Linked DNA regions of Saccharomyces cerevisiae S288C. Changing the gene in region 1 together with any one later gene gives a genetic interaction. Each region holds a gene or a part of one and is shown in the gene's direction. Other genes may lie near its edges. The genes, in order: CDC13, BMH1, NMD2 and RIF1.

Region 1 (7,473 bases):
TTCAGCTGCAATTGATTTGTATATGAAAAGTGAGGATGGTAGACCACCTCAAAACGATTTTAAAGAATGAATAGCCAATTTCGACGAACGATGAATGTTTTATATTTGTAAATATCACCTATCTTAATATTCTGCACGACCGTCCCAGAATTTAAGAACGCTTAATAATTTCCAGAACTACTGTTACTAGTAAAGCAAAAAAATTCCCTGGGAGAATTAATCATGCTTTAACTAGACTCTGGGCCGATCATTTTTGCTGGAAGAAAATGGGAAGTGTAAAAACGATACCCTTTCCAATTTTCCCATGTCGATGAATTCGAGGCGTTAGAGACTGTCGCTAAACTCAAGTGATAGTCACACTTTAATATTAATAAATTGGAAGATTTCAGTCACATATTTGACAGAGGAAAATATAAAAATAAGAAGTAATAAAAGTAAATCATTATATATAAAAAAAATTAAGCATTATTCACACCTGATAAGGATTTTCTAAAAGACGACGCCATTATTAGAACAGGAGCAATTCAAATCGTTAAGCAAAGAAAAGAAAAAGAAAAAGAAAAAGTATGTGAAGGGTATAGACGAACAAAAAGGAAATCATTGAATTTATGGCATTTGATTGACGTTCCTGTTTGGTTCTGCAGTGCTACCACTCATAGCGCCAGAGTGAGCTCCTTCTGTGACCTTTTCTTGATAAGACCGATCACCTGACTCATCCGTAGAGTAAGCGTGCTGGTCCACTGCACTGTTAGCGACATTCGCAGAACCAGGATTACGATCGTTGGTGGTGTAACGCGTCTTAGGGTCCGCTGTTGTTGTGGTGTAACGTGTGTTGGTGGTGGTAGTATGGTACTGCCCATTGGGGTCATTAGTTGCATAGCGTGCGTCGCCATTCGGTTCAGATGTGTAAGCAGCATTATCACCTGCACCTGCTTCGACATCACCGGTCCTAACATTGGTGTTATCGTAAGCAGCTGTTTCTTCAAAAGGCTCGCTTAAAGCTAGTCCGCTCCACCTATGGAGCTTTGTACCCATAGAAGCGCCGCTTCTCCACATTCCTTGGGTTTGATAACGCTTCCTGATAGGTGTTAAGACATTAATTCCCAGTAATATCACACTGATCAAAAACAGTACAAAGCAAAGGCCAGAAAAGGCGATTGCCGCCTGAGAAGAATTACATGCTCTTCTATGACTGTCAGCAGTATATTGGCCACTGTACGGATTATAGTATAATCCGTCTGCATTAGTGTTGCTACAGCTACGTTCACCTTGAGCTTTGGCAAGAACAACGAAAGCTGCTAGCCATAGCATACAAACGATCAATTCGGCACAGAAGTACATTCCTATGTAGATCAATGTGGGTAGGGCCAGACACAAAATACCTAAGGCAATCAGATAAAACACACTAATGACACCTGTTGCCAATGTGAAGTTGGTTTTCTTATTACCTCTATTTCCATAGGCGTGGATGGCATACGCCAAAAGTGACATCACCAAAACCGATGATGCAAATTGAGAAAATCTCAAAAGTGTTAAGAAAACTCCAGTAACTCGTTTCATAACGTTGATATAATATATCTATTTGGTTTATGTTCCTCAATTGAAAAAAAAAACCGTAAACTTTCGTACTGAGAACATCAAAGCATAATGGTAACGGACGCTTTGTTGAACCTTTTTATACGTTGTCTTTTAGGGAATGTTAACCAACCATCGTCATCCCTTAAGATACGGTTTCAATATCCCTTGGAAACCAAATATACGTTAAAGTCATCAACGAGTATGCTTACTGGTTTATTAGTAACACAAACCTCAAAATCTCCTTAACTATCGTCAATTTAAGGGTATATATCCCCTTTCTCATTGTGCGTTTCTTTTTCCATGCCAGGTCAATACTCTCCTATGACTGGAAATACACTGTAAACATGCTTTTAGCCCTCTGGATTAGTAAGACTGGCAGGGCATCGCTTCGCCGTCCCTTTTTTCACTTTTACATTTTTTTTTTTTCATTTTCGCCCTTAAAGTTTTTTAAAGTTGATTTACTTACTTTTATGTAAAGAATATAAAACAATTCTAGACTTTCTTGGCGAAGGTTATTGAAGGAAGCGTGAATTCAAAAATCCATCACAGATATTTTGTATTCATTTTTTTGGGGAGGGCTCCTCTCCGCTCTACTCAACTTCACTGAGAACATAACATGGAAAGATTTTGGTACTTTATCTTGCGAAAGAAAGATTGCAAATAATGTTTGCTTTTTATTTTCTTCTCGTATATATCTATAAGGTCAATCTTATTGGTCACTGTCAAGAATGATTGTAACGGGCCCTTCATTAGTTAAAGAGCAACTCATCATTGCGCCGAATTCACCATCCTTTACTTTTTCCTCACCCAAATCACTTCTTAGTAATTTTAAGAATTCTTCATAAAGTTCTTTAGCTATATGACCCTTTTGGGCCAAATGGAAATCGGGTTTAGTTCCCTTCTTGGTTTTTGCCATCAAAGTGAATTGAGACACGGATAGAATTTCACCATTGGCCTCTTTAATATTCTTCTTCCATAGATTTCTGGATTCATCTTCGAAGATTCTCAAACTAAGAACCTTTTTCGATAATTTATCTATCTCCGCCATAGAATCATCAATGGAAATACCTACTAGGAGCATATAACCATGTTTAATACTGTCACATAGATAGAGGTGTTAGTAAAAAAAATTGGTGCACTAACGAAGCTGAAAAAACCGGTAACATACCTTGAAATAACTTTTGAATCGACGACTACAGATGCTTGGCTGACTTTTTGTAAGACAATCTTCATTGTAAATCCGCTGCTGAATAATATGTGGATTATTTAATATGTACATGCAGCCTTGATTAACGTGATTATACTTTTTAAACCTTTGATATCCAAATTTTTCAACGTCATAAGAGACGCGAAGGCCTAGTGAGATGCGAAATGCTAATTCAAAATGGAAATTTAAGAATATATTCATATATGTTTCTCTTTGGATACGAATGACCGTGGAAACTATCGCCTAAAAATGGATACCTTAGAAGAGCCTGAGTGTCCTCCACATAAAAATCGTATTTTTGTGAGCTCGAGTAAAGATTTTGAAGGCTATCCCAGCAAAGCAATAGTTCCCGTGCAATTCGTGGCGCTTTTAACCTCAATACACCTGACTGAAACAAAATGTTTGCTAGGCTTTTCTAATTTTGAGAGGCGAGGAGATCAATCCCAAGAAGATCAATATTTAATCAAACTGAAGTTCAAAGATAGGGGCTCGGAGAGGTTAGCCCGGATCACTATTTCCTTACTTTGCCAATACTTTGATATTGAACTGCCAGATTTAGATTCTGACTCAGGCGCATCCCCAACAGTAATACTGAGAGATATTCACCTTGAAAGGTTATGTTTTTCAAGTTGTAAAGCTTTATATGTATCAAAACACGGGAACTATACTCTATTCTTAGAGGACATAAAACCGTTGGATTTGGTAAGTGTGATAAGCACCATATCTACAAAATCGACAAATAGCAGCAAGCATTCGTCATCAGAACTTATTTCAGAATGTGATTTGAACAACTCACTTGTGGATATCTTCAACAATTTAATAGAAATGAATAGAGACGAGAAAAACAGGTTTAAATTTGTAAAGTTGATTCACTACGATATAGAACTAAAAAAGTTCGTTCAAGACCAACAAAAGGTATTATCGCAGAAATCAAAAGCCGCAGCAATTAATCCTTTCTTTGTGCCAAATAGACTAGGGATACCTTACATTGAATCCCAAAACGAATTCAACTCGCAGCTTATGACGCTTAATGTAGATGAACCGACCACAGATATAAGCAACATGGGAGAGGAAATGCATGACAGCGCAGATCCCATTGAGGATTCAGATTCCTCAACTACCTCCTCTACCGGGAAATATTTCAGCTCAAAATCCTACATCCAGTCACAGACACCTGAAAGGAAAACAAGCGTACCAAATAATTGGCACGATGATGATTCCGGAAGCAAGAGGAAGAGAAAGCTTTCTTTCCACAGTCCGAACGCGTCCTCAATCCGCAAAGCCATCAGTTATGAGCAACTTTCCCTAGCTAGTGTAGGCTCAGTTGAAAGGTTAGAGGGCAAAATTGTTGGCATGAATCCACCTCAATTCGCCAGTATAAATGAGTTCAAATATTGCACATTGAAATTATATTTTACGCAGCTCTTACCAAATGTCCCAGACAAGGTCCTGGTGCCAGGCGTCAATTGCATTGAGATCGTTATCCCGACGAGAGAGCGAATCTGTGAGCTCTTCGGTGTTTTAAACTGTCAAAGCGACAAGATATCGGATATTTTACTACTGGAAAAGCCTGATCGAATTTCCGTCGAAGTTGAAAGGATCCTGTGGGACAATGACAAGACCGCCAGCCCAGGTATGGCAGTATGGAGTTTGAAGAACATTAGCACCGACACGCAGGCGCAGGCGCAGGTGCAGGTGCCTGCGCAATCGTCGGCGTCAATCGATCCGTCTCGCACAAGGATGAGCAAAATGGCAAGGAAAGACCCCACCATCGAATTCTGTCAGTTGGGACTCGACACTTTTGAGACCAAATACATAACAATGTTTGGCATGCTAGTCTCCTGCTCGTTTGATAAACCTGCCTTTATATCTTTTGTCTTTAGCGATTTTACCAAGAACGATATCGTCCAAAACTATCTTTACGACAGATATCTAATAGATTACGAGAACAAGTTAGAGCTGAACGAGGGCTTCAAAGCCATCATGTACAAAAACCAATTCGAAACGTTTGACTCTAAGCTCAGAAAAATATTCAACAACGGGCTAAGAGATCTACAGAACGGCCGCGATGAAAACCTTTCGCAATACGGCATAGTTTGTAAGATGAATATAAAAGTGAAAATGTACAACGGCAAATTGAATGCCATTGTGCGCGAATGTGAGCCGGTCCCGCATTCCCAAATAAGCAGCATCGCCTCGCCTTCACAGTGCGAACATTTAAGATTGTTCTACCAACGAGCGTTCAAGAGAATTGGCGAATCCGCAATTTCACGCTATTTCGAAGAGTACCGGAGGTTTTTCCCCATACATAGAAACGGTTCTCATCTCGCGAAACTGAGGTTCGATGAAGTAAAGCATGAACCAAAAAAATCACCCACTACACCAGCTCTCGCAGAACACATACCCGACCTGAATGCAGACGTGTCCTCCTTCGATGTAAAGTTCACAGATATATCTTCTCTCTTGGACTCCTCGGCTCGCCTCCCGCGCCCACAGCAAACACACAAGAGCAACACATTATACAGTTGCGAGGGCCGTATCATCGCCATCGAGTACCACGCATCTGATCTCTGCTTCCATATCACGAATGAGCTCCCACTTTTACAAACCCGCGGCTTGGCCCCGGAGCGAGTGTTGCAACTACACATCATTACCTCCAAGAACTTTGCTTATTTTTTCAACCGCTCAAGCGCCTACTTACAGCGTCAGCCTCTTGAGGAAAAATATACGCAATTGGCACAATTTCTCGGCCATTCATTTAAATTCAATATAACCTCCTCGCTCACGCTGTTCCCTGACACTACCGTGGCACTCCAGATCTGGTGCCCAATTGAATGCACCTTTCGGGAATTGCAACAACAGCTGGCCCATCCGAAGGTTGCAGCGGCTCCTGATTCAGGGAGTCTTGATTGCGCAATTAATGCTACCGTCAATCCTCTGCGACTTCTTGCCGCGCAAAATGGCGTCACCGTGAAAAAGGAGGAGGATAATGACGATGACGCCGGAGCCGTTCCCACCTCGTAAGACATGATCCGCGCAGCCCAACGCGGCGGTGCCAAATTGCAGTGACGTCTCGGAGTAATATAAAAAAAAAAGACCAAATAACCAAATTTAAGGGTGCTCTGAATATAAGGGAGTGGAACGTTTTCACACGAAGGAAAAGGGAAAGAGGGGAGTGGTAAGAAGCAAGAGTCAATGAAAGGTCTTCCTTCCTTCTTGATGCTAAAACAAGGATAGTCTGGAATGGGGAGGAGCATTCGGCGCAGATGCCGACATATAAAAGGATGGTTGCTTTGCAACAGTTACTTGATCTTGCTTTGTTCTCTTGATTAGTTATCCGTTAGATGCAAACTTTAAGTACAGTAATTTTGAAGTGAATTAAAAAGAAAGAGGTATTTACGTTTAACGCTTATACTTTCCTTTTTATCCAAGTAACAAGTAACACTAATCACTATAATCTACCGCTATGATTTTCAAAAGGTTCGTTAATTTGCTTGTGTTTTTATTCCTACTCGGTGCTGGCTTATTGACGTTTTTTCTTATTCTGTCAGGAGGCAGAGAATCTGGAACGCTGAAAAATTTTTATTGGTTACAGGCTGATACAAACGGCTTTAACAGCGCTCCATCGACCACGAGATGGTACAATTACAATTGGTGCGGCTACGAAGACGGCCAGCTAGCTAATTGCTCTAGCAGGGCGCCCGCCAAGCCTTTCTCTCCCAGAGACAATTTTGGTAACTCTGTCAATTTACCATCGTCGTTCAGAAACAACCGGGATACCTACTATTATCTATCCAGGGTTGGATGGGCCATGCTGCTGATTTCCCTATTTTTCATCGTACTGGCGCTGGTACCCGGCTTTCTGGCTACCTTCCTTCCTTTCAAGGCAGTGCCAGTCCTGTACTGTGTGTTGTCCTGGTTGGCCTTTTTCTTCATTATATTGGCTGCATGCTTGTACACAGGTTGCTATGTGAAGGCCAGAAAGACCTTCCGCAACAGCGGGAGGTCTGCAAGGCTGGGACCCAAAAACTTTGCGTTCATCTGGACTTCGGTCTTCTTGATGCTCGTGAACGCCATTTGGTCCACTATATTCAGTGCTACCCACAAGGCCCACTCTACCTACTCGGACCACGACATGTATGCCCAATATGAAAGCCCTTCTGTTGACACCGGTGCTCAAATGGAGAAATCCACTTACAATAGTGGGGCGACGGACGGCGCGGGCCCTATCACAGCCGCACCTGTGGTTGGACAGCCTCAACCTACAACCACCACTACTCCGGCTGGCAATGGCAAGTTCTTTCAAAAACTGAAAACAAGAAAGCAGGTGCCATCAGCTGAGTTAGAACCAGCTGGGGATGGTGGTCTTGCCGGGCCAGTGACGGTACGCGACTAGGAAGGAAATAATCACCATAAAATACTTCCTAATTTTTTTTTTCTTCCTACATTCGCAGTACCATAACTCTGCATCTACCTCCAACCGAAATATTTTTTTGTGACATGGTATAATCCATATGTATCGTGCTGAAATTTTTTCTTGGAGATTTTCATTTATTCTCCACCATTCTTTCTCGCCTCCCCTCCTCCTTTTCCTTCTAATAATAACTTAGTTCTTTTTCCTTCTTCATTAAAGAGACTAAGAAAAAAAAAACGTCAATAATACCCGGCACCTTAGTGTAATTAATAGT
Region 2 (5,685 bases), on another chromosome or scaffold:
ATTGATTCTTTTTTAGATTTTTAACAAATGAGGTTATATGAGAATGAAGCAGGTCATAACAAGCGGAACCAAAGCTTACTCAAACAAGTTATCATTTCCAACTAAATCCTACTTGAACTGCACCTCTTAAAAGAAAGATAGAAATTCTATACAAGCGCTCTCACTCAATAAGAATTGTAAAATGAACATGACAGTGATGTGTCACACCTCGATCGGCAACGTGAATTGGTTACCGTCTATTTAGTAATCAGTACAGAGATATTGAAGATGCCGCTATTTTTTTTTTTTTATATTTCCGCCGTATTTTATTCCTGTGTAGTCGGGTAATGGATGCTATTTGTATGCGATTTTAGAGTCTTAAAATGCTCAAGAGTGATGTATAATGTAAGTTCATCATTTGAAGAATTCGAACAAAGTTGTGACAATATAAGGAGTTCCGCAGACTAAGAAGTACTACACGATGGATTTTCAGTGCAGAACGTGTAGCCAGGCTTATGATGCTGAGCAGATGATGAAGCATCTCTCAAGTACGAGGCATAAAACTGTATTCGACACTTCAAATGATGAAGATATTTGCTGTGAGGAATGTCAAGATAAAAATATACACCAACTTCAAATCATCAGGTTTGGGGGTGAAGACATGGTTTTACTTTGTAATTCGTGTTTTCGGAAAGAATATTCAGAAACGGAGCGTCCATCAACTAGCTACTCATTACAAAACGGCTCTATATTGAAATTTTGGGAAAAGTACGTGAAAGTCAGGGAATGTTGTTGTGATGAGTGTGGGGAAGAGTCTAACTTGAATGCAAATAGAAATGGAGAAGTATTATGTGACAAGTGCTTGCCCAAATCGAATAGAGCTAAAGACTTTGTTTCTGAAAAAAGTGGAAGATTCCTATACATCTACTTGGGACTGAATGAAACACAGAATAGCACTAGAAAGCCTAGAAAAAAGGGCGGCAGAAGAGTTGGTAGAGGAAAGAAGGGCAGGAAGGGTGCTAAGATTAAGAAGGAGAAAAAGGAAACTTTCGAGGCCAAAATAAGTAGAATCGCTTATGAAGTCAAGAAAGAAAATAGTACCATTCAAAGCTCTAGTAGTTCCAATCTAAGAAACTTCAAAGGTTTCAAAGCGGTGGAAAGCGATCCAGTAGTTGCAGCAAAAGTAAGCAAATCAGAGACTAGTAGAAGTAATCCTGGCCCATCAAATCGAAACAAAGGGAAAGGAAATAAGGCAAACCACAAAAAGAATAGTGGAAATGGGATAGGAAAAGAGAAAGAGAGGAAAACAAACATTAGAAATAATGTCCGTAACAGCCAACCTATACCAGAGGACAGAAAAAATACCAATAGCCACGTTACAACAAACTCTGGAGGGAAAGGCAAGAACGAATCAGTGGATAAGCACCAATTACCGCAACCAAAAGCTTTGAATGGAAACGGGTCGGGCAGTACTAATACTACTGGTTTGAAAAAAGGGAAAAAAGACCATGCTGGCCAGAAGACTAAGGGCAATGATAAAACGGGTAATAAGAATCCGCGAGAGGCCAAACTAAATTCAGCTGGCAGAAAGAATGCACTTGGCAAAAAATCAAATAACCAGCCAAATAAGGGAACTAGCAGGTGGACAATTGGATCTGATACTGAATCTTCTAGAGAACCTAGTATTAGCCCAAACGAGAACACAACTTCAATTACTAAATCGCGAAACCGCAATAAGAAGGCTAGCAAGCCGACGCTGAATGAAAAATCAAAAACAACAACGATGCCAAAAAAGTTGGAGACAAAAAATCAAGAGAAAAATAATGGAAAAACTAAGGACGGGAAACTTATTTACGAAGAAGGTGAACCACTCACAAGGTATAATACCTTTAAGTCAACCTTATCATACCCCGATTTGAACACATACCTAAATGATTACTCATTTGCCCTTTTTTTGGAACAGAAATTAGAGAACGAATTTGTTCAAAACTTCAACATACTATGGCCTCGCAATGAAAAAGATACAGCTTTTATAATCAACGTTGAGAAGAATAATAATTCAGAACTTGAGAAATTACTACCTGCAAATTTGCTTGCACTCGGTAGACCGGCATTTAATGAAAGGCAACCATTTTTCTTTTGTACTCAGGATGAACAAAAAGTTTGGTATATTTTTATCAAAGAACTTTCTATTCAAAGGGGTAAATACGTGTTGTTAGTGGAGCTTTTTTCGTGGAATAATTTGAGTTTGCCAACGAAAAATGGTTCATCTCAATTTAAGCTATTGCCAACTTCTGCGCAGACAAGTAGAATTCTATTTGCCATGACGCGTATTACAAACCCAAAATTTATTGACCTATTACTAGGCCAAAAGCCTATTAAAGAGATTTATTTTGATAACAGGCTAAAATTTTCCAGTGACAAGTTGAACCGATCTCAGAAGACTGCAGTGGAACATGTTCTAAACAACAGTATCACAATTCTACAAGGCCCACCTGGTACAGGTAAAACATCAACAATAGAGGAGATAATCATCCAAGTAATTGAAAGATTTCACGCATTCCCAATATTGTGTGTTGCCGCGTCAAATATTGCTATTGATAACATTGCCGAGAAGATTATGGAGAATAGACCGCAGATAAAGATCTTAAGAATTTTGTCAAAGAAGAAAGAACAACAGTATAGTGATGACCACCCATTGGGCGAAATTTGTCTCCACAATATTGTATACAAAAATCTTTCCCCAGACATGCAAGTCGTGGCAAACAAAACCCGCAGGGGCGAAATGATCTCCAAATCAGAGGACACGAAGTTTTATAAAGAGAAAAACCGTGTCACCAACAAGGTCGTATCTCAATCGCAAATAATTTTCACGACAAACATTGCTGCAGGTGGTCGTGAATTGAAGGTTATAAAAGAATGTCCCGTGGTAATAATGGATGAGGCTACACAATCATCAGAGGCTTCAACACTAGTCCCACTTTCGTTACCAGGTATAAGAAATTTTGTCTTCGTTGGGGACGAAAAGCAATTGTCAAGTTTCAGCAACATCCCTCAACTGGAAACCTCACTATTCGAAAGAGTCCTATCTAATGGCACGTACAAAAACCCACTAATGCTGGATACGCAGTACAGAATGCACCCAAAAATTAGCGAATTCCCCATTAAGAAAATATACAATGGTGAATTGAAGGACGGTGTCACGGACGAACAAAAGGCATGGCCTGGCGTGCAGCATCCGTTGTTTTTTTATCAGTGCGATTTGGGGCCCGAGAGCAGAGTGAGAAGCACGCAAAGAGACATAGTCGGGTTTACGTACGAAAACAAACACGAATGTGTAGAAATCGTGAAGATTATCCAAATACTAATGTTGGACAAGAAGGTTCCGCTGGAAGAAATTGGTGTCATAACGCCCTATTCTGCACAGCGTGATCTGCTGTCTGACATCTTGACCAAAAACGTAGTTATCAACCCCAAACAGATTTCTATGCAACAAGAATACGATGAAATTGAGCTATTTAACGCGGCTGGTTCTCAAGGAACCGCCGGCAGTCTACAAAACAATGTGATTAACATCATCAACGGCCTACACGTCGCGACCGTAGACTCCTTTCAAGGCCACGAAAAATCTTTCATCATATTTTCATGTGTCAGAAATAACACCGAAAACAAAATCGGCTTTTTACGTGACAAAAGAAGGTTAAACGTGGCATTGACAAGAGCCAAGCACGGACTAATTGTGGTGGGCAACAAGAATGTCTTAAGAAAAGGAGACCCCCTATGGAAAGACTACATTACCTACCTCGAGGAACAAGAGGTCATATTCACTGATCTCACAGCTTACTAGCCGGCTAGGCGGCGGCAAGAAAATCCACTGTTTATGTATTGATTGCGCAATGCAGAGATAGATAGATATAGATAGATAATGGACGTAGTTATAGAACAGAAAATCGGTAGATCGAAAACACAGGGGAAAAAGGGGGGGGGGGGGGGGAGACAGCGCAGCCACGTGACGGGCTTCCTCTTTGGAAAGTGGAGCGAAGTTTTGCGGAAGCTACTTTATTCCGGCCTGGAGTCAAAAGAGGAAGCTCGGTGGCAAATAGCTTCCTCTTTGTGGCCGGGGCGCGGGGGGACGAGGCAAAAAGCAAAGAAAAGCAAAAAAAATAAAAAAAAAAACAAAAAAACAGGGGTATGAGAAAAAGACACGCTTTTCCACGCGCAGCAAAAAGGAAAAAGGAAAAGGAAACTCTTTATTATTGGACCTTAAACCTGAAAACGAGACGAACCGTAACATAAAACCGTGTAGTTTCTGCAAAAATAACTTAGTTTTTCCTACTTTTCAAAATTGAGAGCGCAAGCAAGTGAGAAGAAAAAGCAAGTTAAAGATAAACTAAAGATAAAAATGTCAACCAGTCGTGAAGATTCTGTGTACCTAGCCAAGTTGGCTGAACAGGCCGAACGTTATGAAGAAATGGTCGAAAACATGAAGACTGTTGCCTCCTCTGGCCAAGAGTTGTCGGTCGAAGAGCGTAATTTGTTGTCTGTTGCTTATAAGAACGTTATTGGTGCTCGTCGTGCCTCTTGGAGAATTGTTTCTTCTATTGAGCAAAAGGAGGAGTCCAAGGAGAAGTCCGAACACCAGGTCGAGTTGATTTGTTCGTACCGTTCGAAGATTGAGACCGAACTAACTAAGATCTCCGACGATATTTTGTCCGTGCTAGACTCCCACTTAATTCCATCAGCCACCACTGGCGAGTCCAAGGTTTTCTACTATAAGATGAAGGGTGACTACCACCGTTATTTGGCTGAATTTTCTAGTGGCGATGCTAGAGAAAAGGCCACAAACGCCTCTTTAGAAGCATACAAGACCGCTTCTGAAATTGCCACCACAGAGTTACCCCCAACTCACCCAATCCGTCTAGGTTTGGCTCTTAACTTCTCTGTCTTCTATTATGAAATTCAAAACTCTCCAGACAAAGCCTGCCATTTGGCCAAGCAAGCTTTTGACGACGCTATTGCTGAGTTGGACACTCTGTCTGAAGAATCATACAAAGATAGCACACTTATCATGCAACTGCTAAGGGACAATTTAACCTTATGGACTTCAGACATGTCCGAGTCCGGTCAAGCTGAAGACCAACAACAACAACAACAACATCAGCAACAGCAGCCACCTGCTGCCGCCGAAGGTGAAGCACCAAAGTAAGTATTCTGATAAATCTAAAGAGAAATTACTAAAAAAAAGAAAAAAAAAAGAACGGGGGTGTAATAATTTGTAGTTCATTATTGCAATTATATATCTATATCTATATATGTATATAACATTAACATGTGCATGTACACACGTAATCGCGCGTGTACATGTCTATATGTGTTACTTGAACTATACTGTTTTGACGTGTATGTTTATTTATCTCTCTTCTGATTCCTCCACCCCTTCCTTACTCAACCGGGTAAATGTCGCATCATGACTCCCGACAATAATCCCCTCTGGTATAGCGAGAAGCAACTTTAGCTTCTTAACGGCAAGAACTTTTTTATGTTTGTCGCACCTGTATCTTCACAAAAGTTGGATACAGCAATAAGAAAGGAAACCACATTTGTGCCAATGCTTGCTGCTTCATTCAAACGCCAACCATCACAATTGGTCCGCGGGTTAGGAGCTGTTCTTCGCACTCCCACCAGGATAGGTCATGTTCGTACCAT
Region 3 (7,902 bases), on another chromosome or scaffold:
TCATGGACAACCTTGAAAGGTACAGAAAATACCATTCATCAAAGTTAATGGATCTATTAAGAGCACTTAGGAATAAATATCATCATTTTATGGATTTACCTGAAGATATAGCAGAACTAATGGGGCCGGTACCCGATGGATTTTACGATTACTTCACCAAGCGTTTTCCAAACCTATTAATAGGTGTTTATATGATTGTCAAGGAAAATTTAAGTGACGATCAAATTTTACGTGAATTTTTGTATTCATAACATGTTCATGCCCCTCTGCTTCTTCTTGGTTGATTATTGCATTAATGTTACTTTGATCATTAGTAGTAACCATCCATAATTTTTACGCCCTTGCATAAATGAAAAAAAGTTGTACTTCTTCATGAACCTATACTACTTTTCTCATCCCTACATAAACTACCCGACAGACATTTAATTTTATAAATACATATCTCATAAACATCGAACATCGACATACTACTCCAGTTATTCAACACTGACTTTTTTGGTGGAAAGCTTTCGTTCTGCAATTCTTATGCAAATAAAGGTAAACACACATGCAAAAGCGTAGACTTCATCAAACCAAGAATCTATGACAATGTTTGGGACGGTAAACTTTCCACCCAATAGCTCCTTTAATCTTTGTGATACTTCAAAAGGGAGATGGGACCTAACCATTAGCGTTGTAGCCAAAACGTAGACGCCAGTCAACTCTGACACCACCAGATTTTTTATCAAAGATATTCCTTTTTGTTCCTGAGAATAGTTTCTCTTTTTTCCCTTATAGGAAGAGTTATTGGTGTACTCTGGAAGTACATTAGCAGTGTCATCATTCTGCATGGCGAAAAGTGCAAGAATCTGGAACTTTATGGGCAAAAGGGTCACAACGTAGGAGATGGTGGTATTGACAGCAGAAAGACAGCAAAGAAAGAGAGAAATTGACAAAAATAACGATATCTGTTTTGTTAACGAATCGAGATCGTGCTGGTAATTGAACCTGAAAAACGAAAAATCCAAAATATTTGCTATCGTAATGGCTAAAGGATCGGATGCTGCATTTTCACTAAAATTTTCATAATCGTAGTCATCTGGATATTTGAGCGAGTGGTATATGATATAGGGGATTCTTTTCAGGAAAGTTATTATTAGTTTATGAAGACAGTATATGATAAACCCGACTTCAAAAGCTTTCTTAAAAGTGCGTACCTGAGGGGACTGTTGTAATAATGCTTCCAATTTCCCAAGCTCCAGTTGATACCAGGCGATTTTTTCCATCAACTCTGCTTTAAAAGTTGAGTTTTCTCCGACCTCTTCTTCTAAACTTCTTAATATTTGTACATTTTGTTCAATGTTGTGTTCATAATCTTGGATTTTTTCCTCTATATAGGCGTCTGTTGTCCATAAGAGAGATTTACTGTTATTGTTGCTGTTGTTGATGTTTCTAAAACTGGGGTCTGACATTGGTGTATTACGAAACTTGTGCCAGATGACTAAAAAGTTGTAGTATAAACTAGAAACAGTGGCTAACCCAGATAGGGAAGCCATGACTGTGACGCCTCCGATGGACAATCTAGTTAGAATATTTTTTGTGTACTGGAACGGTCCAATATTTATGTAACTTAACAGCGCAATAAGTGTGGACAAGATTATGCATGTCACTATTATCAACCTATCGATATCGAACTTGTCATTGTAGAATTTATTCAGTAACGATATTATAATGAAAAAGGGCTGAAATAAAATTAGTATGAAGGATAGCATGATTGCAGTCAGAGGCCACACCCAAGTCGTTATGAAAGTAACTTCCTTGTCCATTCCAGCAACCTTAATCTGCCATAGAATAATCTCTATGGTTACTGTATACGTCATCATTGCTAATGAAAAAAGGACTCGCAGTGATTGCAGTACCTTATGTGAGGGTAAAGAATACTCTGTGTAGAATTTATTTATGAAATTACCCATACTAGACACATCCTCATTCGAGCCAACTTCCATTTTGCTTGCCAACGGAATGACATTTTTCTTCGAGGAAGTTGATATAATGTCAAACAAAGACCCTACTTTAAACCAGAGCCTTTCATAGGAGCATTTGTAAGCAAATGCTCCGGATACGGAAAGCACTATAAATACGATAAGTGCCTCCATCCCGTCCACCACTTAGTCTACACTCAATAGTCCTTTCTAGTGCAGGTCCTGGAGGCAACCGCCAGAGTTGAGATCTTTTCCTTTTCTTTCCCTGCTGGTCAATTTTTATTGTTCAGGACTCGGTCATCGCAGATATCGCAATTTTTCACTCGTTTGAGTCTAGACTGTAAAATAAAACCGAATGGTTAAGCTAAAATAGACTCTGTATGACTAAGTCGTTCACTAAAGTTCATTATTTCATGCCTGAATGACCTTTATCTTAATTATGCACCATCATATAGCGTTTCTATGATCACTACGGGATATTATGATATTGTTAGGGGGTTATATTGAATATTTCTTAGGGCATGAGGATGATATTAGGGTTATTAATAGGTTTACAATTATATAATTTATGTGATAATTATCACTTGATACGAATTGATGGAGCCTGCTTCTTTTTTTTTTTTTCACTTTCTTGGCAGTCACTGAAAAACTGCATTCGAATACAGGTTTGAGAAACTAATGAGGCCCATATTACTTTACAATGAACAGTAACAATCAACTTAAATGCTTAAATAATCTAATATTGTATCTGCATTGATAATACATTGGACAGAAATTATGGACGTATGTTTGATTTATCTTACTGTGGCCAGATCGGCCTTTCAGTACTTCTAAGGTTTTATACTAACTTCTTTTATTGATCGTTGTAAACTACGGTAACAATTATGTATCAACAGGATGGACGGAAAAAAGAATTGCATGATTTGAACACCCGAGCTTGGAATGGCGAAGAAGTCTTTCCCCTGAAAAGTAAAAAACTGGATTCCAGTATAAAGAGAAACACTGGCTTTATAAAAAAACTAAAGAAGGGTTTTGTGAAAGGTTCAGAATCTTCATTATTGAAAGATTTAAGTGAGGCGTCCTTGGAAAAGTACCTATCAGAGATAATAGTGACGGTAACAGAATGTCTGCTAAATGTTTTGAATAAAAATGATGACGTAATTGCCGCTGTTGAGATCATAAGTGGACTTCATCAAAGGTTCAATGGCCGATTTACTAGTCCGCTTTTAGGAGCTTTTTTACAAGCTTTTGAGAACCCCTCTGTTGACATTGAATCCGAAAGAGATGAGCTTCAAAGGATAACCAGAGTTAAAGGTAATCTTCGGGTATTTACCGAGCTTTATTTAGTTGGAGTTTTTAGAACATTGGATGATATTGAGTCGAAAGATGCTATTCCAAACTTCCTACAGAAGAAAACTGGGCGAAAGGATCCGTTGTTATTCAGTATTCTCAGAGAGATTCTTAATTATAAGTTCAAATTGGGCTTTACTACCACTATTGCGACCGCATTTATTAAGAAATTTGCACCTTTGTTTCGCGACGATGATAATTCTTGGGATGATTTAATATATGACTCGAAGTTAAAAGGTGCGTTACAGTCTCTGTTTAAGAATTTTATAGACGCCACTTTTGCGAGGGCCACAGAACTGCATAAGAAGGTCAATAAACTGCAAAGAGAACATCAGAAATGCCAAATAAGAACGGGAAAATTGAGAGATGAGTACGTAGAGGAGTACGACAAGTTACTTCCAATATTCATTAGGTTCAAGACATCTGCAATTACTTTGGGAGAATTTTTTAAGTTAGAAATTCCGGAGCTTGAAGGTGCCTCTAATGATGATCTGAAAGAAACAGCTTCTCCAATGATCACGAATCAGATATTGCCACCCAACCAACGATTATGGGAAAATGAAGATACAAGGAAATTTTATGAAATCTTACCAGATATCTCAAAAACAGTAGAAGAATCACAATCTTCTAAAACAGAAAAAGATTCAAACGTTAACTCAAAAAATATCAATCTATTCTTTACGGATTTGGAAATGGCAGATTGTAAAGATATAATCGATGACCTTTCAAATAGATATTGGTCATCATATTTGGACAACAAAGCCACAAGAAATCGAATATTGAAATTTTTCATGGAAACACAAGATTGGAGCAAACTGCCAGTGTATTCCAGATTTATTGCAACAAATAGCAAATATATGCCGGAAATTGTTTCTGAGTTTATTAACTACCTAGACAATGGCTTCAGGAGTCAATTACATTCTAATAAGATTAACGTTAAAAACATCATCTTCTTCAGTGAAATGATTAAATTTCAATTAATACCATCGTTTATGATTTTTCATAAGATTAGAACATTAATCATGTATATGCAAGTTCCAAATAACGTAGAAATTTTGACGGTTTTGTTGGAGCACTCAGGGAAATTTCTGCTAAATAAGCCAGAATATAAGGAATTAATGGAAAAAATGGTCCAACTAATCAAGGATAAAAAAAATGATAGGCAATTGAACATGAACATGAAAAGCGCCTTAGAAAACATAATTACTTTACTTTATCCCCCTTCTGTAAAATCATTAAATGTTACGGTAAAAACAATAACGCCTGAACAACAGTTTTATCGCATATTAATTAGAAGTGAACTAAGTAGCCTAGACTTCAAACACATTGTCAAGTTGGTTCGGAAAGCTCACTGGGACGATGTAGCTATTCAGAAAGTGCTGTTTTCTCTGTTTTCAAAACCACATAAGATTAGCTATCAAAATATTCCCTTATTAACAAAAGTTCTAGGCGGTCTATACAGTTACCGCCGCGATTTCGTCATCAGATGTATAGACCAAGTACTGGAAAACATTGAGCGAGGCTTAGAAATTAACGATTATGGACAAAACATGCATAGAATATCAAATGTCAGATACTTAACTGAAATATTCAACTTTGAAATGATAAAATCCGATGTTTTGTTAGATACTATCTACCACATTATTCGGTTTGGTCATATCAACAATCAACCCAATCCATTTTATTTAAACTACTCAGATCCACCGGATAATTATTTCAGGATTCAACTAGTCACTACAATTCTGTTAAATATCAACAGGACCCCTGCAGCTTTTACTAAGAAATGCAAACTTTTGCTGAGGTTTTTCGAGTATTATACTTTTATTAAAGAACAACCTTTACCCAAGGAAACAGAATTCAGAGTTTCAAGCACATTTAAAAAATATGAGAATATTTTCGGAAACACTAAATTTGAAAGGTCAGAAAATTTGGTAGAAAGTGCCTCAAGGTTGGAAAGTTTACTGAAATCATTAAACGCAATAAAAAGTAAAGACGACAGAGTGAAGGGATCTTCTGCAAGCATTCACAACGGTAAGGAGAGTGCTGTTCCTATCGAGTCAATCACCGAAGATGATGAGGATGAAGATGATGAAAACGACGATGGTGTCGATTTACTAGGAGAAGATGAAGACGCGGAGATAAGTACACCGAACACAGAGTCAGCGCCAGGAAAACATCAGGCAAAGCAAGACGAAAGTGAAGATGAAGACGATGAGGACGATGACGAGGATGATGACGATGACGATGACGATGATGATGATGATGGAGAAGAAGGCGATGAGGATGATGATGAAGATGATGATGATGAGGATGATGATGATGAAGAAGAAGAAGACAGCGACTCTGATTTGGAGTATGGTGGTGATCTTGACGCAGACAGAGATATTGAAATGAAACGAATGTATGAAGAGTACGAGAGAAAACTAAAGGATGAGGAAGAAAGGAAAGCGGAAGAAGAATTGGAAAGGCAATTTCAGAAAATGATGCAAGAATCCATAGACGCAAGGAAAAGCGAAAAGGTTGTTGCCAGTAAAATTCCAGTAATTTCGAAGCCAGTCAGCGTTCAAAAACCTTTATTATTAAAAAAGAGTGAAGAACCTTCTTCAAGCAAGGAGACCTACGAAGAGTTATCCAAGCCAAAGAAGATTGCATTTACGTTCTTGACTAAAAGCGGTAAGAAGACACAATCAAGAATTTTACAATTACCAACGGATGTGAAATTTGTCTCTGATGTCCTTGAAGAAGAAGAGAAACTAAAAACCGAGCGAAACAAGATTAAAAAGATTGTTTTAAAACGTTCTTTCGACTGAGATTCTTTTGCGAATATAGTTCTTTAAATTTTTACTATATATGCCCACTTATGTTTGGCTCTATTAAATGGCTACGTGTTTATATAGTACCGTTTATGACGCTGTATTTTTATTTACACTGCTTTCCAGGAGATTAAAGAGCGGAGTGTTAGTCAACTCTCACGACAACAACAGTTATATCGTCTTCTTTACCACCGCTGTAGTTTTTGCCAGTTAGCTTAGAAATCTCTTGCGCAAAAACACTGGGGTAATTGGGGTCCTTGCTTAAACTGACAACATTGTCCACAAACTTCTGGGATAATAGCTGTAACTCATCGTTTGTTCTCGCAGCGTTATCCTTCAGAAAAAGCTCAATATCATCTGTGGCAATATTATCGGTTACACCATCGGTAGCCAATATAATAATATCCTTTTTTTTCAATTGGAAGCTATATTCATCAGCGTCTCTGGGGGTGTTTAAAATATACTTGCTACCCCTTCTTTCGGCCTCTTTCAACATTTCTTCTGGAATGATTGACAATTGGTAAGGAGCATTAAATCCAACAGTTTGAAACTTTGTCTGGAATACAAGTTTAGAATCTCTGAAGACTCCACACCAAGAATCACCCAAGTTGGCAACTTCCAATTTTCCATTAGATGGGAAGTGAGCCACAATGGCTGTTGTCCCACCAACCTTCACTACTTTCTCATCCCTAATTTTTGCGTATGCAGCACCAATAATTTTCTTTGGCGTTAAAAGCGTTTCTTTGGATGAATTTTCTGCTAAAGCAGTGCTTATTTCGTCCATTTTTTTACACAATTCTCTTGAGATGGCGCTGGAGTCATACCCATGCTCAGCCCATCCTCCAACACCGTCTGCGACACCGGCAAAAATATCGTGAACGTTGTTTGATGTAACAAAATAGTTGTCTTCTCCTGTAGGTGATCTAATAGAATCCTTTAGTTTTTGGTATATCAGATCGTCTCTGTCTTTTGGTTGGAAAGCTACCGCGGTTTTATAGGTGAACGGGCCTGATTGGCTACCTGAACTATACGCATCACCATGACTGTTGTTCGATTGATACCCACTCTTGGCACTTGAGTAAAAAGTCCTCTTGGAAAAGCTGATGATTTGACTGCAGGATCCTATGATATGAGAAAAGTTAGTCTCTGAGTCGATTAGCATTTGTCCCGCAAATTTAGCAATTAGCACACCAATGAATAAAACAATAAACATACCATAAAGGGGACCTCTCGAGACCCTCAAAGTTCTAAATCCAACGTTTGCAAACATTTTTGGTGGCTTTGTCGTTTGTTTTCTGGACCGCTTTTATTGCATGTGTCTTTTACATTTGTTTACTGTCAAAATGAAGCTCGCGTGTAAATTTGTAGATTGATTACAGAAAGATGTAGCTGAAACCAGCCAAGAAAGAACAATTAGCACATCTCATTTTATAGAGCCTCAGTTTCTGTCGTACGACTGTTGCAAAATATGTAGGTGGAAGTGGATTTTTAAATTACGTTTAAAACGTAGATTGCGAGTCACTGAATGGCAGCAAGCTTATTAAAATGATTAATTTCTAATTTTATTGTGATATAGGCAACTTTGGATAGAGGAAACAATGAGCCGTAAGAGTGCTAGTTACTGTTTTCGCACCGCCGCAATCGTATAGGTGCGTTAATGGCAGTTTAAAAGCTAATACTGCTTACATGAATGTCAACGGCGCCAGCATGGTCAAATAACCGGCAATATGTCCTGCTTCAAAGTTAAATAGTTTGAAGTATTTAGTGCAAAAGTGCCA
Region 4 (10,277 bases), on another chromosome or scaffold:
TTTCGAAGAGAATACAAGCATAGTAAATTTAAAGTCTCTAAATTATGATACGGACAATCCGACAACCTCCATTTCTCAACTGTATAACATACCGAATACAAAAGAGGTGTGGAAATTGATCATAAAATGTACGTCAAACTCGCAAATGCCGTCGTTAACGAAAATCCGAACATATCTAGATCTTTTATTAGACGATGATGCGTCAAAATCACAAGAGCATTTGCATTTGACTTTCCCTGCCTCAGGTAGTATAGGTTTGGGGAACTTAAACATTCAGTCTGTGGAAATTCTTTTGAATGTTTGTTATTTAATATTTCAAGTATCCCAAGTTCAAGAATTATTGACGTTCATGTATTGCGAAGACGGATATACAGAAACGTCATTATTATTAACAGCTTATATTATATTCCACTTTAATATTCCGTTACAAGACGCTCTTTTGAGGATCCATCCAAGACCATTTTTCCTTTTTCCATCAGACTTGCAAATTTTAGGCCATTTACAACCTGTCCTGCGGGAGTTTAGTCCGCAGAATGGAAGTAATCTAAAATTATATGCCAATGCATTGAAATTTAGGGATAAAAGCTTTCAATTACACATTTCTTCAGAGCTTTTTAGTAGCATATTTTTTATGAAGATTCCTCTTGAGTCTAATTTCGTTAATTTGAAGGGCCCACTGCCATCCCGGATTCTACGTCACTTGTATTTGGGATCCCTGGATCATGCACAAAATCCTGCCTTACTTAAGTCTCTAGGAATTACGCATATAGTTTCTGTCGGTGAAGTTGTTTCATGGACATTGAATAAGGATAAAATTGCTCATCCTGTAAGGCCACATCGTGCAATAACTATGACGAATACCAATGAAGTTGCAGGTAATACTACATGTAATAAAAGCAGAAATAGAGCTGATACTGTGGTCAGCGATAAGCAAGAAAATGGCAGCAACGTAGTAATAAGTGAAAATTCTGGATTTCAAATTTGCCAGATCGAAAATCTAGATGACAACGGCAAAGATCCGCTTTTCCACCAAATAGACAAAGTTTTGGATTTTATTAGCAATTCCGAAGCAACAGGAGGGAAAGTTCTGGTGCATTGTATGGTCGGAGTCTCCAGATCTGCAACAGTTTGTATAGCTGAATGTATGAGATATCTCCAGTGTGACCTGGCAAGTGCGTATTTGTTTGTGAGGGTACGGAGGCTTAATGTTATCATTCAACCAAACTTGTTCTTCGTATATGAGCTCTTCAAATGGTGGAAAAAGCATTATAATCGCGAAAAAGACAAAACTATGGATTGGCACATCATCTGTAGGGGTATCGCTGAGGTTAATATGAAGTACACATGAACTTTGTTATATAAGTATACGTACAACTGTATAATACGTAGGAAAATTACCAATTATAAGAAAAGTATGCAAAATTAACGCTATCAGCCAAGTATAACGAACTGCTGTAATCCTTTACAAATCGTTAAAAAAGGGCCGCAGCAAATATTTATATAGTAAGGACAGCTATCTTAGATTTACATCGTGAATATACTCTACTTTTGATAAGAAACAAGAAGTCAACAGAAGGCAGGTGATTAGTGCCATTTTGATTTTCAGTTCTTTGTGTTTTTCCTCTTATGTCATATTTACTACAATAATAGAAGTTACTATAATTGACCGACGCGTCGATTTTTTATTTATTGGCGACTCATCGTTAGCAAGAAGATCGAAAGTAATAACGCAGTCTTAGAGCGATTTGAGGCAATTCGTCGGCATCAGTACCTAAGGAGATAAAAGTGAATATATATATATATATTCGTCAACGTTATTACAGGATTGCCATTGCAAAATCGTTTTTGTGGTCAATTTGCAATGTCGAAAGATTTTTCAGATAAAAAGAAACATACGATAGATCGAATTGATCAGCATATCCTCCGTAGGTCTCAACACGATAATTATTCCAATGGAAGCTCTCCGTGGATGAAAACTAACTTGCCACCTCCATCTCCACAAGCTCATATGCATATACAAAGCGATCTATCGCCAACGCCAAAGAGGCGAAAGCTAGCGTCTTCAAGTGATTGCGAGAATAAACAATTTGATTTATCAGCTATTAACAAGAATTTATATCCAGAAGATACAGGAAGCAGGCTAATGCAAAGTCTTCCAGAGTTGTCTGCCTCTAATAGTGATAATGTATCACCGGTTACAAAAAGTGTAGCTTTTTCTGATAGGATAGAATCATCACCGATTTACCGCATACCAGGTTCCTCACCTAAACCCTCTCCATCAAGCAAACCAGGAAAATCAATTTTGAGGAATAGGTTGCCTTCAGTGAGGACTGTAAGCGACTTGAGTTACAATAAACTCCAATATACCCAACACAAATTACACAACGGTAATATTTTCACATCACCTTATAAGGAAACAAGGGTAAATCCTCGCGCCTTAGAGTATTGGGTGAGTGGTGAGATCCATGGTTTAGTTGATAATGAAAGTGTTTCGGAGTTTAAAGAAATTATTGAGGGCGGATTGGGCATCTTGCGACAAGAATCTGAAGATTACGTCGCGAGGAGGTTTGAGGTATACGCAACCTTTAATAATATTATACCCATTCTAACCACTAAAAATGTTAACGAGGTTGATCAGAAATTCAATATTCTAATTGTGAATATAGAAAGTATCATTGAAATATGCATACCGCATCTACAAATAGCACAGGACACATTATTAAGTAGTAGTGAAAAAAAAAATCCATTTGTAATCAGACTATATGTTCAAATAGTTCGATTCTTCAGTGCTATTATGTCTAATTTCAAAATCGTTAAGTGGCTAACGAAAAGGCCAGATTTGGTTAATAAGTTAAAAGTTATTTACAGGTGGACCACCGGTGCGCTAAGAAATGAAAATTCAAACAAGATAATCATAACAGCACAAGTCTCTTTCTTGAGAGACGAAAAATTTGGTACTTTTTTCTTGAGCAACGAAGAAATTAAACCTATCATTAGCACTTTCACTGAAATAATGGAAATCAATAGTCACAACCTAATATATGAAAAATTGCTACTTATAAGGGGATTTTTGAGCAAGTATCCAAAATTAATGATTGAGACGGTAACTTCTTGGTTACCAGGTGAGGTACTACCTAGGATTATTATCGGAGATGAAATTTACTCCATGAAAATTCTCATAACTTCAATAGTTGTTTTACTGGAACTACTAAAAAAATGCTTAGATTTTGTTGATGAACATGAAAGGATTTACCAGTGTATCATGCTATCTCCAGTATGCGAAACAATCCCGGAAAAATTTTTATCTAAACTACCGTTAAATTCATATGACAGCGCTAATTTAGATAAAGTGACAATTGGTCATCTTCTTACACAGCAGATAAAAAACTATATTGTGGTCAAAAATGACAATAAAATAGCAATGGATTTGTGGCTTTCAATGACCGGATTACTATACGATAGCGGAAAGAGAGTTTATGATTTGACATCAGAATCTAACAAAGTTTGGTTTGATTTAAATAACCTGTGCTTTATCAATAATCACCCCAAGACTCGCTTAATGTCCATCAAAGTTTGGAGAATTATTACCTACTGCATATGCACGAAAATATCACAGAAAAATCAGGAAGGAAACAAAAGTTTACTGTCACTTTTACGAACCCCTTTTCAAATGACGCTTCCTTATGTGAATGATCCAAGCGCTAGAGAAGGGATCATCTACCACCTTTTAGGTGTTGTTTACACTGCATTTACAAGTAATAAGAATTTGTCAACAGATATGTTTGAACTATTTTGGGACCACCTAATAACCCCGATTTATGAAGATTATGTTTTCAAATATGATTCGATTCACTTGCAAAATGTACTCTTCACAGTTTTGCATTTGTTAATTGGGGGAAAGAATGCAGATGTTGCATTGGAAAGAAAATATAAAAAGCATATTCACCCAATGAGTGTTATAGCCTCAGAAGGTGTAAAGTTAAAAGACATTTCAAGCCTGCCCCCGCAGATCATCAAGCGTGAATACGATAAAATCATGAAAGTTGTGTTCCAGGCTGTTGAAGTAGCCATTTCTAACGTTAATTTGGCTCATGATCTGATCCTTACATCTTTGAAGCATCTTCCAGAGGATAGAAAGGACCAAACTCATTTAGAATCCTTTAGCAGTCTTATATTAAAAGTCACGCAAAACAACAAAGATACACCCATTTTTCGTGACTTTTTTGGTGCTGTTACTTCATCGTTTGTTTATACATTTTTGGACCTGTTTTTAAGAAAGAATGATTCATCATTAGTAAATTTCAATATCCAAATTTCCAAAGTTGGTATTTCGCAAGGAAACATGACCCTTGATCTTTTAAAAGATGTTATCAGGAAAGCTCGAAACGAAACATCTGAATTTCTGATAATAGAAAAGTTTCTAGAATTGGATGATAAGAAAACAGAAGTATATGCCCAAAATTGGGTTGGATCAACGTTATTACCACCAAATATATCTTTCAGAGAATTTCAGAGTTTGGCGAATATTGTGAACAAAGTTCCGAATGAAAATTCCATTGAAAATTTCTTGGACCTATGTTTGAAGCTCAGCTTTCCAGTTAATTTGTTTACACTACTTCATGTGTCTATGTGGTCGAACAATAATTTTATTTATTTCATTCAAAGCTATGTTTCAAAAAATGAAAACAAATTAAACGTGGATCTGATCACGCTGTTAAAAACTTCTTTACCAGGGAATCCTGAACTGTTTTCCGGTCTGCTCCCATTTTTAAGGCGTAACAAATTTATGGATATTTTGGAGTACTGTATTCATTCCAATCCAAATTTACTAAATTCCATCCCTGATCTAAATTCAGATCTCCTATTGAAGCTGTTACCACGTAGCAGAGCTTCATATTTTGCAGCAAACATAAAACTATTCAAGTGCTCCGAACAGCTTACATTAGTTCGTTGGCTGTTGAAGGGTCAACAACTTGAACAGCTAAATCAAAATTTTTCAGAAATCGAGAACGTTTTACAAAATGCGTCTGATAGCGAGTTAGAAAAATCAGAAATAATCAGAGAACTCCTTCATCTGGCGATGGCAAATCCCATTGAACCATTATTCAGTGGCCTATTGAATTTTTGCATAAAGAATAATATGGCGGATCATTTGGATGAATTTTGCGGAAATATGACCAGCGAAGTTCTTTTCAAAATAAGTCCAGAGCTACTGTTAAAATTACTGACGTATAAGGAGAAGCCTAATGGGAAGTTACTGGCAGCAGTTATTGAAAAAATTGAAAATGGAGATGATGATTATATATTGGAGTTGCTTGAAAAGATTATTATACAAAAAGAGATCCAAATTTTGGAAAAATTAAAGGAGCCACTTTTAGTTTTCTTCTTAAATCCAGTTAGCTCTAATATGCAAAAACACAAAAAGAGTACAAATATGCTCCGTGAATTAGTCTTATTATATCTCACTAAACCGCTTTCTAGAAGTGCCGCCAAAAAATTTTTTTCCATGTTAATTAGTATATTACCGCCAAACCCTAACTATCAAACTATTGATATGGTTAATCTGTTGATTGACCTCATCAAATCACATAATCGTAAGTTTAAAGATAAGAGAACCTATAATGCAACATTAAAGACAATAGGAAAGTGGATACAGGAATCGGGCGTGGTTCATCAAGGGGACTCAAGTAAGGAAATTGAAGCTATACCTGACACTAAGTCGATGTATATTCCATGCGAAGGGAGTGAAAATAAACTTTCAAACTTACAGAGAAAAGTGGATTCTCAAGATATCCAGGTTCCGGCTACGCAGGGAATGAAAGAGCCTCCCTCCTCAATTCAAATATCTTCCCAGATTAGTGCGAAAGATTCAGATTCAATATCGCTTAAAAATACTGCAATAATGAATTCTTCACAGCAAGAATCACATGCTAACCGAAGCAGATCAATTGATGATGAAACACTAGAGGAAGTGGATAATGAAAGCATTAGAGAAATAGATCAGCAGATGAAGAGTACGCAGTTAGATAAAAACGTGGCCAATCATAGCAACATTTGTTCTACTAAAAGCGATGAGGTGGATGTTACTGAGCTGCATGAAAGTATTGATACACAATCCTCGGAAGTGAACGCATACCAACCGATAGAAGTTCTCACTAGCGAACTGAAGGCGGTAACAAATAGATCTATCAAAACGAATCCTGATCATAACGTTGTTAACAGTGATAATCCTCTAAAACGACCTTCCAAAGAGACGCCTACCTCTGAAAATAAAAGATCGAAAGGTCATGAAACGATGGTGGACGTTTTAGTTTCTGAGGAACAAGCGGTGTCGCCTAGCAGTGACGTTATATGTACTAACATCAAGAGTATAGCCAACGAAGAATCTTCGTTAGCTTTAAGGAATAGCATAAAAGTGGAAACAAACTGTAATGAAAATTCCTTGAATGTCACTTTAGATCTTGACCAGCAAACCATAACAAAGGAAGATGGAAAAGGGCAAGTTGAACATGTTCAAAGACAGGAGAACCAGGAAAGTATGAATAAAATCAACAGTAAAAGTTTTACGCAAGACAATATTGCACAGTACAAGAGCGTGAAGAAAGCCCGTCCTAATAATGAGGGTGAAAACAACGATTATGCTTGTAATGTTGAACAAGCCTCTCCAGTAAGGAATGAGGTGCCAGGAGACGGCATTCAGATCCCGAGTGGGACTATACTTCTCAATAGTTCAAAGCAGACAGAAAAATCAAAAGTTGATGACTTGCGTAGTGATGAAGATGAACATGGAACGGTTGCGCAAGAGAAACATCAAGTGGGTGCAATAAACAGTAGAAACAAAAATAATGACAGGATGGACAGCACACCCATTCAAGGCACTGAAGAAGAATCTAGGGAAGTTGTTATGACCGAAGAAGGTATCAATGTACGCTTAGAAGATAGTGGAACATGCGAACTTAATAAAAATTTGAAGGGACCGCTTAAAGGAGATAAGGATGCCAATATTAATGACGATTTTGTACCTGTTGAAGAAAATGTCAGAGATGAGGGCTTTTTAAAATCAATGGAACATGCGGTATCTAAAGAGACAGGTCTAGAAGAACAACCCGAAGTTGCTGATATTTCAGTGTTACCAGAAATTCGTATACCCATTTTCAATTCTTTGAAAATGCAAGGGTCAAAGAGCCAAATAAAAGAGAAATTGAAAAAGAGATTGCAAAGGAATGAGTTAATGCCACCAGATTCACCTCCTCGAATGACAGAAAATACAAATATCAACGCGCAGAATGGCTTAGACACCGTACCAAAAACAATTGGTGGAAAAGAAAAACACCATGAAATTCAATTAGGCCAAGCCCACACAGAAGCAGATGGCGAACCTTTGTTGGGGGGAGATGGTAACGAAGATGCTACATCTAGGGAAGCCACACCTTCATTAAAAGTGCACTTTTTTTCAAAAAAGTCGAGAAGGTTAGTGGCCAGATTGAGAGGGTTCACACCGGGCGACTTGAACGGAATATCTGTGGAAGAAAGAAGAAACTTGAGAATTGAATTATTAGATTTTATGATGAGGCTCGAATATTACTCAAACAGGGATAATGATATGAATTGATTGTTAGTATGTAGAATAGATCAAAATGGCAATAAATTAATTACAATAATAAAATCTCTCGAAACAATATATAGTTACGATGACACACTAGAAATCGAGAGAGATATATAATAAGTAGAAAGAATTTTTTTTTTTTTTTGATCAGTGCATCTTAACCCTTCTTTTGTCTCCATTTTTTTCAGTTGGGAATTAGGATAATATCCCTACAGATAGTTGAAATTTTCTTGAACAATCTTCTCCATTCTAAAGGATCACCAGTTTTTCTTTCAAATCCGACACTTTTCAACTCTTCTTCAATCTTTATGATGGAAATGCTACCGCATAATTGATAACCCCCATTACTTTTGGTTTTAATATTTATAATAAGTGGGAAAACGTTATCATAACCCAATAATTCGCACAATCTTTCAAAATTCGCAAAAAGGTCGGGTTTTACTCTAATTTGTGATAAATTCAAGGCTTTCTCCAAAATCGGTAACAAAACATCCATAGGTTGCAACGTGTAGAACTTGGTAAGTTTATTCGGATTAAATTGTAAATGTCGTTTTACTAATTCATTACAATCATTTTCATCAGAATGAAACTGTAAGGCAGCGATATCATAGCTTATGAATTGCGTCCACTTAGCCTCTTGTGTCATACCTGTTCCGCTATTATAGTTCGTATTTGAATCATACGAGGTAAATGCACGTTGTGTATTCGAAACTGTCTGGAAATGCATTGAGTCGTGTTCAAGCTCAGCCAATTCGTTACCAATTGGCTGAGTAGAAATGTACCTATTATTAGAGTTTGTATCTTGAGTGAATTTCAAATAATTTTCGTTACTCAGTGAGACTTTTAAGTGAGAAAACAGTTTCTTAGCCAAGAGTTCAGGGTCATTACAGAGACCATCATCCCCAGAAAATGAAGCTCGACGTAATACCCAAGGATGTAACTTTAAAGCCTTCAATGTCACCCTCTTATTTGGGTCAGGTTGTAAAATTTTTCGGAGTAGGTTCAAGTGAGTAAATTCTATCTTTGACCAGGGTCCCCAGTTTAAATTTCCATCATTTTCAATAAAAAAGACGAAATCTTCGTTCTCTAATGAAGGTAATTCCCAAGGCGTTTGACCAGTCAACAATACGAACAAGAGGATGCCAATAGACCATATATCTGTTCGATCTGCGTAATAACCCTCTTCAGAATATAATACTTCAGGAGCCATGTAGGGTGGAGAACCCCTTTGATCCATGGATACACGTAATGTACCATCTTTCCTCCTAAATTGAGAGGCGAGCCCAAAATCAGCTAGCTTCAGATTTCCGTTCTTATCGAGTAAGATGTTTTCAGGCTTGATGTCTCTGTGAGCAACTCCACATTCTACATGCAGATAATTAATAGCACTAACGAGCTGTTGAAAGTAAAATTGGGCCACGTCGGAATCAACTCCAACGTCAGGCTCAATCTTATCAAATAGATCACCACCATCTGCCATCTCCAGAATTATCCACATATATTCTTTAGAGACATTACAATCGATAAGTCTCAAAACATTAGGATGCTTAGAACACTTCGATTGCAAAACAACCTCTTTTGTGATATCCTTGTCACTGAGTCCCATTTTTTTGCAAGTGGGAACATGAATGAATTTAACAGCTAGAATAATGGAGGGATCCATTTGAAGATGAGCATTTTTAACGCAGGCGAATGCGCCTTGGCCTACTGTATCTCCTAAAACAACATCCTTGATATGGGGTAAAGGTGACACCTGCGAGAGACTCATAGTAATACGTGCTGCCCATATACAGCAACTTATGATATACTCTTATGTTTGAAGCTGTAGTTGTTTTTATTTGCCATTCAATTATTAAAATGACATTTAAAGCCGCTCTTTATTAACTTCGGCAGGCCTCGTAGTAATGTTGAAAATTTAAAAGGGAGCTGGGTTGAGGTTGAAAGCACTTACAAAGAAGCAAGGATAGCTAAACCAAACAGCCGTAACCAAATGTTAGAAGCACTGTTTAGAGATTCTGTGGAAGAAGCAATAAACGATTCCATCAAGGAAGGCGTTGTGCTGGCCGTTTACAACACTGCACGGGATGACCAGTGGCTGAAAAGTTGGTTTAAAGGAGATGATGTCTCATTAGATACTTTAGCGGAACATAGTATTTGGTTGAGGTTGGTCAAAGACACTGAGCAGTTCCAGTTATTTGAGCAAGTATTTCCTAATGTAGTTGTACCCAGTATATACTTGATACGTGCTGGAAAGATAGAATTGATTATTCAAGGCGAGGATGACCGACATTGGGAGAAGTTGCTGGCGTGCATAGGCATCAAAGACAAAAAGGCTGGTGAGAGTTCGTCCAGGGAAACCAATCCAGGTTTGGCTAGAGAAGAAAAGTCATCCAGAGACGTCCATAGGAAAAATGCAAGAGAACGGATTGCTGAGACTACCTTAGAGATCCAACGTCGTGAACAACTGAAACAAAGAAAGCTGGCTGAGGAGGAAAGAGAAAGAATTATAAGACTTGTTAGGGCAGACCGTGCAGAAAGAAAAGCTCTTGATGAAACTCATCACAGAACCCTTGATGATGATAAGCCATTGGATGTTCATGATTACATAAAAGACGCACAAAAACTGCACAGCAGCAAATGCGTCTTGCAAATCAGGATGACTGATGGCAAG

What was found.
Region 2: of CDC13 (region 1) and BMH1, a mutation in one rescues a mutant of the other (synthetic rescue), as found in Saccharomyces cerevisiae (5 studies listed by BioGRID, with this or other methods).
Region 3: of CDC13 (region 1) and NMD2, a mutation in one rescues a mutant of the other (synthetic rescue), as found in Saccharomyces cerevisiae (6 studies listed by BioGRID, with this or other methods).
Region 4: mutations in CDC13 (region 1) and RIF1 together harm fitness more than expected from each alone (negative genetic interaction), as found in Saccharomyces cerevisiae (5 studies listed by BioGRID, with this or other methods).

The regions. Positions count from the first base shown.
Region 1 is NC_001136.10:60,580-68,052, reverse strand, and holds CDC13 (telomere-binding protein CDC13), read left to right. Parts: upstream 1-3,034; coding exon 3,035-5,809; downstream 5,810-7,473. Other genes in the region: translocation channel protein TIM22, read left to right, coding at 1-70; YDL218W (uncharacterized protein), read right to left, coding at 607-1,560; DTD1 (D-tyrosyl-tRNA(Tyr) deacylase), read right to left, coding at 2,288-2,675, 2,747-2,811; FMP45 (Fmp45p), read left to right, coding at 6,252-7,181. UniProt on the Saccharomyces cerevisiae protein: Single-stranded telomeric DNA-binding protein that regulates telomere replication. Has a role in both positive and negative regulation. Promotes [TG(1-3)] strand lengthening via interaction with EST1.
Region 2 is NC_001137.3:541,230-546,914, forward strand, and holds BMH1 (14-3-3 family protein BMH1), read left to right. Parts: upstream 1-4,381; coding exon 4,382-5,185; downstream 5,186-5,685. Other genes in the region: ECM32 (RNA helicase), read left to right, coding at 461-3,826; PDA1 (pyruvate dehydrogenase (acetyl-transferring) subunit E1 alpha), read left to right, coding at 5,588-5,685. UniProt on the Saccharomyces cerevisiae protein: Involved in growth regulation.
Region 3 is NC_001140.6:250,593-258,494, reverse strand, and holds NMD2 (Nmd2p), read left to right. Parts: upstream 1-2,738; coding exon 2,739-2,744; intron 2,745-2,857; coding exon 2,858-6,121; downstream 6,122-7,902. Other genes in the region: bifunctional endoribonuclease/protein kinase IRE1, read left to right, coding at 1-251; YHR078W (uncharacterized protein), read right to left, coding at 477-2,135; type 2C protein phosphatase PTC7, read right to left, coding at 6,270-7,246, 7,340-7,394. UniProt on the Saccharomyces cerevisiae protein: Involved in nonsense-mediated decay of mRNAs containing premature stop codons. It interacts, via its C-terminus, with NAM7/UPF1.
Region 4 is NC_001134.8:748,691-758,967, reverse strand, and holds RIF1 (DNA-binding protein RIF1), read left to right. Parts: upstream 1-1,861; coding exon 1,862-7,612; downstream 7,613-10,277. Other genes in the region: tyrosine/serine/threonine protein phosphatase PPS1, read left to right, coding at 1-1,348; serine/threonine protein kinase CHK1, read right to left, coding at 7,791-9,374; UBX7 (Ubx7p), read left to right, coding at 9,597-10,277. UniProt on the Saccharomyces cerevisiae protein: Negatively regulates telomere length by preventing telomere elongation or promoting degradation of the telomere ends. Recruited to telomeres by interaction with the C-terminus of RAP1, which binds directly to telomeric repeat DNA.